Linked DNA regions of Drosophila melanogaster. The protein of the gene in region 2 purifies or fractionates together with the protein of the main gene of each other region. This does not show direct contact. Each region holds a gene or a part of one and is shown on either strand. Other genes may lie near its edges. The genes, in order: Vps33B and Vps16B.

Region 1 (4,768 bases), 4.3 Mb from region 2:
GATGCGCCTGCTGCACGAGCGAGATCCCGAGGAATGGAGCGTTGAGCGATTGGCCGAAAGTTTTCCCGCCACTCCGGACATTGTGCAGAAAATTCTGCGGGCCAAGTGGCGACCGAGAAGTGTGCAAAGGATACGCTCCCACGATGAAACCGTCATTAAAAACTGGCAGCTTTTAGGGACGGGAAAGGGTGACTTCAGTATCCCACCGTCTCTTCTCCAGCATCTGCAGAAATTCGCCGAGCGAAGGTGGCAGGATCTGCGGGAGCTTAAAATCCAGGATTGGCCCACAAAATCACAACTACCGACTCCGCAAGGCAACGAATTCCGCAAACTGCTGGGCAGCAGTAGTAAAACAACAGAGGAGATGCCTACACCACAAATCCCATCCGGCTATGAAGCTCCACCCTCTGCTGCCGAAGATGAAACCTATTTGTTGGACAAAATCCGTAATAAAAAGAAGATGCGGCTGCAGGAGCTTAAGGAATTGCAGCTCGTTGAGTCTGCGCCCGCAGTTCCAGAGGAAATGAAGCGGCCCATCGAGAATCCCAGTGGCACCGGATTCCTGCCCAGTTTCGTGCCCAAGTTTGCGAGCAGCGAGATTGTGATCAGTGCCGCGGATCAGCGCAAGTATGAAATAACCCAGGTGAAAACACGCATTGTTATTCCCCGGAAACTGCATCGCCAAGGAGCCACTTACCGGGTGGAGGATGCCTATTACGATGACGATGGAGAGCTGCTCTACCGAGTGCCTGGAATGACCAGAGCCAGTGGTGATAAATAGCAAATGCCACTTTTAGGTAATATTTATTCGAAAAGAGCATTGTTTAAATTGTAAATTTCGAAAATTGTTAATCACAAGCTTTGTCATCATTGTTTTGTATAAAAATATATAAAACATTTGATACACAGATTCTTAGTTACTTCATGGTCAGCGGTTGAAGGCGGTGGCGATCAAATCACTGCCCGCCATTAGAGAGTCGGATGCCACGGTTATTTGGGCGCCTGTTAGCTTTGCCACAAAATCGCAGGCGGCGATTTCCGCATAACTGGCACCACCCACAATGAATACAAAGAGATTCCTGAGACGCAAGGGGAACATATCCTGATCTGCAACTCCGTTTAGCTTCACTTGGCTGGCATAGGCCTTGGGCGTGATTTTTCCGCTGTCCAGGTGTAGATGCAGCCCCTCAATCATGCCCAGCTTCGAGGACAACTCCTCAGCACTATTGATTTTCAGCAAAATGGAGCAGAGCTGAGCCACCAATGGTATGTAGGTGCCATTGAACACAAAACTGGGACAGGTCTGCAAGCCACTGGATTGGCTCTTGGAGGAGGAACCTCCATCCTGACCATCTCCACTGGAGGTCAACAGCTTTAGCCGATTAGCATTGGCCTGAAACTCCGTTTGCTGGAACTTGGGCAGAGGTAGATTTGAGAGCAGTTTCGTTGGCGCCTTTTTCTCCACCACAAGTGGTGGCAACAAGCCCGCCTGCGACAACTGCTGGAACACGCCCAATTCCTGGTGTCCAAACAGATTGCAGTAGTTCCGCGCAAATATCTGCAGCTCCTCGGGCGCCACGCCAACGCAATGATGCAAGAGGCACAGCAGTCGCAGTGTATTAAATCTCTGACCATCTGTGGTCAACAGCTCGTCGATCTCGCTTAGCAATCGCTTTCTTGAATCATTGTTTAGTATGTCCTCCTCCAGCGTTTGGAGCTTCCTGAAGTTACCCATCATTTGGATCACAATCTCGCTGGCATTCAGATGCCTAAGGACTTTGCTCTTAAGCTCGGTTAGTTTGGGTAGCTTCCTGGCCACATAGTCATGCATCTCGTCCAGCTGCATGTCATTGAGTTTCTGCAGTTCCAAGCCCAGGGCTTTTACTTGTGCGTGAATCAAACTGCTGACCTGAGCAAATCGTTTGTACCGATTATCGCCGTAGATCTCATCGGATGTGGAGTTAAGACGAATGGAACACGGCTTGCTGGCTGAGTTTACGCCTATCTTGGATTTCTTTCCCTGGAGTAACTCCACACGCTGGCTGCGGATCTTGTTCTTGGAATTGTCTACCAGAATCTCGCCAGAACTATGCTCGAAAACTTCCAAGAGAAGACCTGCATAGATGGCCGGAGTGAGCAAGCTGGCGGGGTAATCCTTATCCCGATCGATGACCAGCCAGCCGCCATAGTCTGGAGGATTTGTGGGCGCCGGAAGTTTGCCAAGAGTCTTCGCCATTTGCATTAGCTGCGACGAGTGGTGGCCAAAGCTCAGAATCAAAGACGGTTGTCCGCAAATCATCTGAAGCAATCGCAGGCTCTGGGCCACCGCAGGCAATGGAGATGTGTTCTTCTGCAGGTAGAGACACTCGTAAAGCTGAATAATAAGAATATCCAGTATAAAAGACTCTTTTCTGAATGTTCAATGTACATCTACTCACATTGGGCAGCTCCAAGCTGAGAACTCCCTGATCAAAATAGATGAAGTCCCAGTTAAAGTGATGAAGTTGCACCAGTCCGTACAAACCAGCCTGTTCCAGCAGGGTTTGAAAATAGGAGTAACAACTGGGCACACAGACTATGTGATACATTTTCATGGAGATGTCGGGCATTTCCTCTGAGGCCACGGGTTGCAATTGCTTGAGAAGTGTCTGAAATGTACCCAAAACACTGCGGATCATGTAGATGTGCACCTGATCGGCGGATCGGGGCAAAGATTGTGCCGCATCATGTTTGTAGATCCGTTGTATGCCCTTCAACCTGTTAAGGGGTATATATAAGACGTAAATATCCATAAAATATGGATTAAACACCTACTTCAGCCAGGAGGCAGTGACAACATGTTCCAGTGGCTTTATCAAGTCGGGCTCCAAAATTAACTCCTTCTTTCCAGGTATGCTACATAGTATGGAACAAAGCTGCAGTCGAATTGCAGGTAGTTAATAGTTTCACTCTTCCGATTCATTATTATACCTTTTCTTGTGCCACCAACTGGAATCCCTGCAGCTTTTTGTCCAGCGTCAAATCCATTCTTCGCCGCACAACACAAACAGCTGATGCAGCAAGGTAGCAAAATGTAAGGTGACGCACGCAAAATAAAATAGGGTTGTCACAAAGCAAATATATGCAGTTTTTATTACGTAAATGTTTATCGCAGTCAAAAAAGCAGTATTACTAGTTATTCTATACAATACATTAAACAAAAGCTATACTCAAATTAATTATTTTGAACTTATGCTACTACTGACGTCACAAAGTGTTGAGTCACCATTAAAAGCATTAATTGTGCACAGTCTTAATTCCTGCCGATCCAAAACTTATTTTCAAAGTTCGAGCTATCCGGTTTGTTAAACAAAAGTACTTAATCTACTGCTCAGTTTGATTGCATACCACTGTGCGAAGGCTGTTCGCTCACGAACTATCGAACCGGTTCGCCATGCGTTCCCATCTTTAGACGGGTATTTAAGCGCGATTCGCTGCAAAAGTGGCAGTTTCGTTCCAAATTCCGAAGCGAGAGTTTGTCGTGGGAAGTTGTTGCGCGCGCCCTGTTCGCATTTATGTGTTTTTATCGTGATTCCGTCAACCGAAATCATATGTTTTTAGCCAGGAGAGAGACGATTGCCAAAACAGCAGCAAAACGGGCGGAGTTCTGCGGTGGAAAATCGAAAATTAGCAAGCGCACGGAACACACTGTGATTGGAGCGAATTAAATGTGAATCAAAATATGGTTAGCCATTCGAAAAGCGTGTAATAAAATCGTGAAGAAAAACCAGAAAACAAATTTGTTATCGCTCTCTGTCTCTTTCTCTCTCCCATTCTCGCTGCGATTTGCTCTCCGTGTGTTTATGTCTCAGCTGTCCAAGTGTGTGTGCGGGTGTGTGTGACGTATGTGCGTGCAAGTGTTTGTGATTTTATGTTGTTGTCTTGCCTGCTTTCGCGTGAAATTCAACAACAACAACAACAGCAGCGGCAGCAACAACAAGCAAAGCAACAGCCAACAACAAATTTAAATTGAGATTTTCCATATTATCAAAAGTTACAGGCGCCTATTTTGCAGTTATCAGGTGAGCTTGCACTTACATTGTTTATAAATAATTTGGGTTTGGCGCATGTGGGTGAAACTGTGCAAAAATATGTGAAATATTTAATCTAATGACAAAAATAGCCGTGCGGTCTGGTTTGTTGTTGTTATTTTGGGCAATTGCAGCTTGTTGCATGTTCTCGTCTTCTCTTTTGTGCCGCAGATTCGTCTCTTTTTTACCGCTCTCTCCTTCTCACTCTGTCCTGCTTGCAGTTGTACATTGTTGCCTTTGTCAATCATTATCTTTGTGTTTTCGCTTCGTTCTGTTTTTGTTTTAGTGGCTAACATTATTTTCTTATAGTCCGTGTGTGTGTCTTCTTCGCGTTTTCTTTGCGGTTCAATTGTTGTTGCGATACCGGTTTGAGCAGCTGTCTCGCTCGGGCACGCTGCACAGGTTGCTGTTTAGATTACTTTTAATTTTTCTATTCTTTGCGCTCCCGTGCCTTCTAATCGCATCTTCTTCTTCGTGCTCATCTTTCTAATGCCCGTTTCTTATTGTTGTTGTTCTTGTTGCCCCTCCCAATTATGCTTTATTTGTTTGTATTTCCCTCTCTCCCATTAAAAATAAGTTTTTGCCATGGGTTTTATAATTTATTGGCCTTTCGATTTATTTAAAAGTTTAATTTTTGCCCAGACTGTTCAACTTTTGCTAATTGCCTACAAGTTTTAAAAGGTTTTTAAGTAGTTTAG
Region 2 (4,335 bases):
ATGTCATATTCGATAGCTTTACGGTCAAGTTCAAGACGATCCTGTGCCAGCGCCTGCTCAGCTACTCGGACTGCGATGCTGCCAATTAGCAGTGGCTGGGCCCTGGAGCTTCGTTTCCGGTTCAGATCCTGGATCCTCTGAAATTTCGTTCAACACGCATCAGTTGAGGGCCCGTCTGTCTTGTTTAATATGTTTCGTTATGAGTTCTGACCTAGAACCGAGGACTGCCCCCAGCACACACAACCCCAGACTCACAGACTCCCGGACTCCCAACTCCTAGAACCCATCTTCCCTTACATTTTTACGCGTAACTATATATATATACCATAATTGTTGTTTGCGGTTATTTATACATCAAATGCTTTTTACAGCGCTGTTATTTAAACGAAATATTTAAGACAAACAAATTGTTTAAAGAATCCAATTTTTGTAACGCTTTGTTTGCCATTGGCCACGCCTGCTTTTATTTGTTTACTCAATAAACTACACAAAAATCTGAGACCGAAGGAAAGTAATCCAAAACTGCTCATCGAACAGATCAACGGAGGCTGCAGGATATACACATGAAACATACAAATGATACAAATTTTTGTTTTTTATTCGATATTCAGCTTGTGATTTGCAATTATTTAATAAAACCAGAGTAGTAGTAATATAATTATATACACATATAAATGATTAACAATAAAATACGTTTATACAAGTAAAAGAAAGTCAATTTTACAACTTGAGCTTGATGTTGTCCGTAGTCCATCGCTTGCTCTGGAGGCTTTTCAGCGCATTCTCGCAGTAGAACTGCTCCTCGGATCGCTCGGGCAGGGTGTCCTTGAGCTGCTGTAGCTCCTGCTGCTGCTTCAACCCGGCCATGGCATCTATGACCGCCTTGATGCACTTCACCCGCTGGGCTAGCGCCAGTTTCTCAACGCTGTTGCCCATCTTGGAGAGGAATAGCTGAAGGACGGTCGAGGGAGCCTGCAGCTCGTACAGCCGGAGCACGGCCAGCGTCAGATCGAAGCTGATGTGAAACTGTTTGGTCTTCAGCGGATGCCAACTGGGCACCCGCTCAAATATGCACTCCAGATCCGCATAAGCCTGTGCCTGCGCCCTTTCATTGAGCGCCGTCCACTCGTACTGGGCCGGCGATATTTGCTGGTCGGCGGCAAAACGCTGAGGTGACACTGGTTTGAGCATATCCTGCTCTTTCCAATTGCTGTTCACCTGGCAGCAAGCATAGAGCACTTCCACTGGAGTGGGTTGATCCCGAAGCAGCTTGCCGAGCGCGCTATCCTTCTCCATTAGCTGCTGCATCTTGAGGGCAGCGTGAAAAACCTGCTCGTAGAGAGGTATTACACCCACTCCCGCTGTGGCATAGGCATCCACCAAAAGCTGGAGGTGTTTCTTCCTGGTGCTCGTATCTCCGGAAGCGAGCGCTGCCTGAAACTGCTTAAGAGCCGCCTCCTGGTGGCGTCCAAATAGCTGCAGTAGCTCAATATGGCCCGCCAGGTCGCCACTTTCCTTCAGGTAACTCAGATACTGCTCCAAGGCCTTGGGTCTCTCCCTCAGAATGCCATGAAACTGCGTGGTATTCAGAGTTCTCTTGAGGAAGAGCAACACTGTAATGACGGCATGCCCACCACCTTGTGCCATCAGGGTGTCCAGCAGCTGCTGCTTCTCATGCAGCGACTTGAACATCTCCAAGGGCGCAGTCTTTCCTTGCAGCAGCTTCTGTGCAGTGGCTTCTAGATTGGGGCTGTACAGGGTGCTCTGAAGCTGTCGGCGCAGCAGCTTCAGCTCCTCCTCCGGCGAGACACCCTTGGGCAGGACCCTGTCGTCCAGCGCCTGTTCCTGCAGCACCAGTTTCAATGCCTCCTCGCTCAGAATGGATTTGATCGAGAGATTCAGGGCGACACTGTTATTGAAGCTGGCCTCCGAAATGGTGTCGTCGGCGAGGATGCCATTGCTGACCAGATCCGGGGCGAGGTCCACCTCGTCTTCGTCGTCGAAGCTGAACGCTGCGCGAGAGGATCGGTTCCAATAGCTTTCGCTGTCCAATTGCAGGTCCATTGTTATTATTCGTTATTAAATGTAAGGTTCTATTTTGTGACGACCAGTGTGGCTGCGCTAATGAATTTACCGTTTAATGCACAGACATGGTCGCACTATTTTCGGCTATTCAAATATTTAAAAATAGTTTCAGTGAAATCCGTTATGAAAAAGCTGTTAATTGTTTATAATCTTCGTTGAATCAAACGATTGACACAGAAAATTAAGCAATTTAGAATTTAGAACTTCTTTCCAAATTGGCTAGAAACGGGAACGCATTTGATTTGTGCAATAAACTAGCAACGGCTAATTCAGCAGAACATCAAGTTTCATCATAAACTCTTTTCGCTTTCTTTTATTCACAAATAGTTGGCTTTTAATGAACCTTAAAGTTTTTATTATTTTGTACGATTAAATCCGCGTAGATTTTTTCACTTTAAGCGAGAAAGCATTTACGTGCACGTTTTTATGCGTCTTTCATGGGTGCCAACTGCTAAAATAGTGAAACTGCCCGAATCAAGTATGTTGCATTACTTTGACTTATTCAAGACCTGGTCTAGCCAGGGATGCAGTGCATCGAGGCGGGAGTAGACTCCCGGCTTGTCCGCCAGGGCGCACCCCACTCCCCACGACACGATGCCCACCAGCTGCTCCCTCACCGACAAGGGTCCACCGGAGTCCATCTGGCAGGCATCCGTGCCGCCCTTGAGGTAGCCTGCACAGAGCATCCGATCCGTCACAGTTTTGCCCAGTAGGTTCCTGCAGGCGGTCTGATTCACGATCGGCACTCGGGCATATCTCAGACTGTCCGAGGGAGGACCATTCATGGACTTAAATCCCCAGCCGGCAATGGTGGCATAGGTGCCTTCGGCTACTCTCTCTGGGTTTATGGGAATGGCCTTTACCTACAGAGCAAATTGCTGAACTAACTCATTTTAGCTGAGAGTATTTCAAACCTTTCTAGATAGTGTTAGGTTTTTGGTCAACCTGATGATACCGATGTCATAGTCCATGGTCTTGGGATTGAAATTCTCGTGGACTTGCAGGTCAGCGACCGAGAACAGTTCCCCATCTTTTCGGTAGCGCGACGTTCCGCCGACCTTAACTTTCAGCAGGCGATGTGGCACTCCGTTCAGACAATGGCCAGCCGTTAGGATGGTGTGGTTATTTATTATGGAGCCGCCACAATGGTGGATGCCGTACAGTTGGATGGACACTATGTACGGAATGTTGGCGATATCGGCTGGGAAGCCACCGACTATGCGTGGATCTGGGCGACTCTCCAGAGATAGACACCCAGAAGCCTGGAGGAGAAGCAATTTCCACCATAACTTGTACATCATTCGCAGTTAAACGGAGAAAGAATCGCTTTAAAGTAGGAATGTGCGGTCTTTGGATCGCACCTTAAGTACGGAAGAACGTGAAAAATAATGAGAAAAAGCATTTCAATAAGTGCCCATTACTTTGTAATTAGGAAGAGGTTTCGTTTATCTCGCAACTGTTTCAGCTTCGCCGACAGACAGAATATACAATATATGTAACTAAGCTCCGTTCGTGCCGTCAGTTATTAAGAGCCGGACTAATTAAAGTTCAAAATAGTTGAAATGCGAGGAAAGAATGGACCAAATGGATTAAATTAGGGAATACTTAACTACCAAGTAGGTGCTCCAAGGGGCCACTTACCTAGCAATCTGCCATGAATCATCTTTCAATAACTAGGGCTTTCTTCGGTCCGATTCTCCTCGCTTTTCACAAATGTATATCATTTGAATAGCATTAATGGCCAAATCTGGCCTCCACTCATCTATTGTTTGCCCAATTTGTTATCAAAGCACGACCCGTTTTCTCGGCGAACGGACTCGGCCAACTGATTTGCATTGGCTTGACCCATAAATTTGGAAATCAAACACCGTTTGATGGGCCATTCTGGCTCTGGTCTGGCATACTGGCATATCCACGTCGAAAGCGCTGTCCCCGCCAATAAAGTGGGCTATTCGAGATCGGCAGATATCACTGATCTCCAGCCAGTGCGAATGGGGGATGGGGATGGGGGCTAGTCGAAATGGAGTAAAAGTAAACACCGAACATAAGCCCACACAAATCGTTATGGTGGATTTGGCCTAAGCCGATTAGGCTAGAATGGGAGAAAATGGGTGACGAGCGATTTCACGCGACACCTGCGTACGTACCTTTCTCACTCCCAACTCCCAACTCCACACTCCTCATTTCTCATTAGTGAAAGTGAAAAATAGTAAAAACGCAAGCGACAGTTATAAGCCAAAACCCATTGTT

What was found.
Region 1: the proteins of Vps16B (region 2) and Vps33B purify together in Drosophila melanogaster (affinity purification with western blotting, with the first as the bait; one study listed by BioGRID). This does not show direct contact.

Annotation. Positions count from the first base shown.
Region 1 is NT_033777.3:25,471,775-25,476,542, reverse strand, and holds Vps33B (vacuolar protein sorting 33B), read right to left. Parts: upstream 3,054-4,768; 5' UTR 3,028-3,053; coding exon 2,971-3,027; intron 2,916-2,970; coding exon 2,815-2,915; intron 2,758-2,814; coding exon 2,439-2,757; intron 2,375-2,438; coding exon 929-2,374; 3' UTR 787-928; downstream 1-786. Other genes in the region: CG4553 (uncharacterized protein), read left to right, coding at 1-781.
Region 2 is NT_033777.3:29,814,343-29,818,677, forward strand, and holds Vps16B (vacuolar protein sorting 16B), read right to left. Parts: upstream 2,110-4,335; 5' UTR 2,065-2,109; coding exon 721-2,064; 3' UTR 579-720; downstream 1-578. Other genes in the region: ca (claret), read left to right, coding at 1-89; CG7829 (uncharacterized protein), read right to left, coding at 2,574-2,948, 3,000-3,386.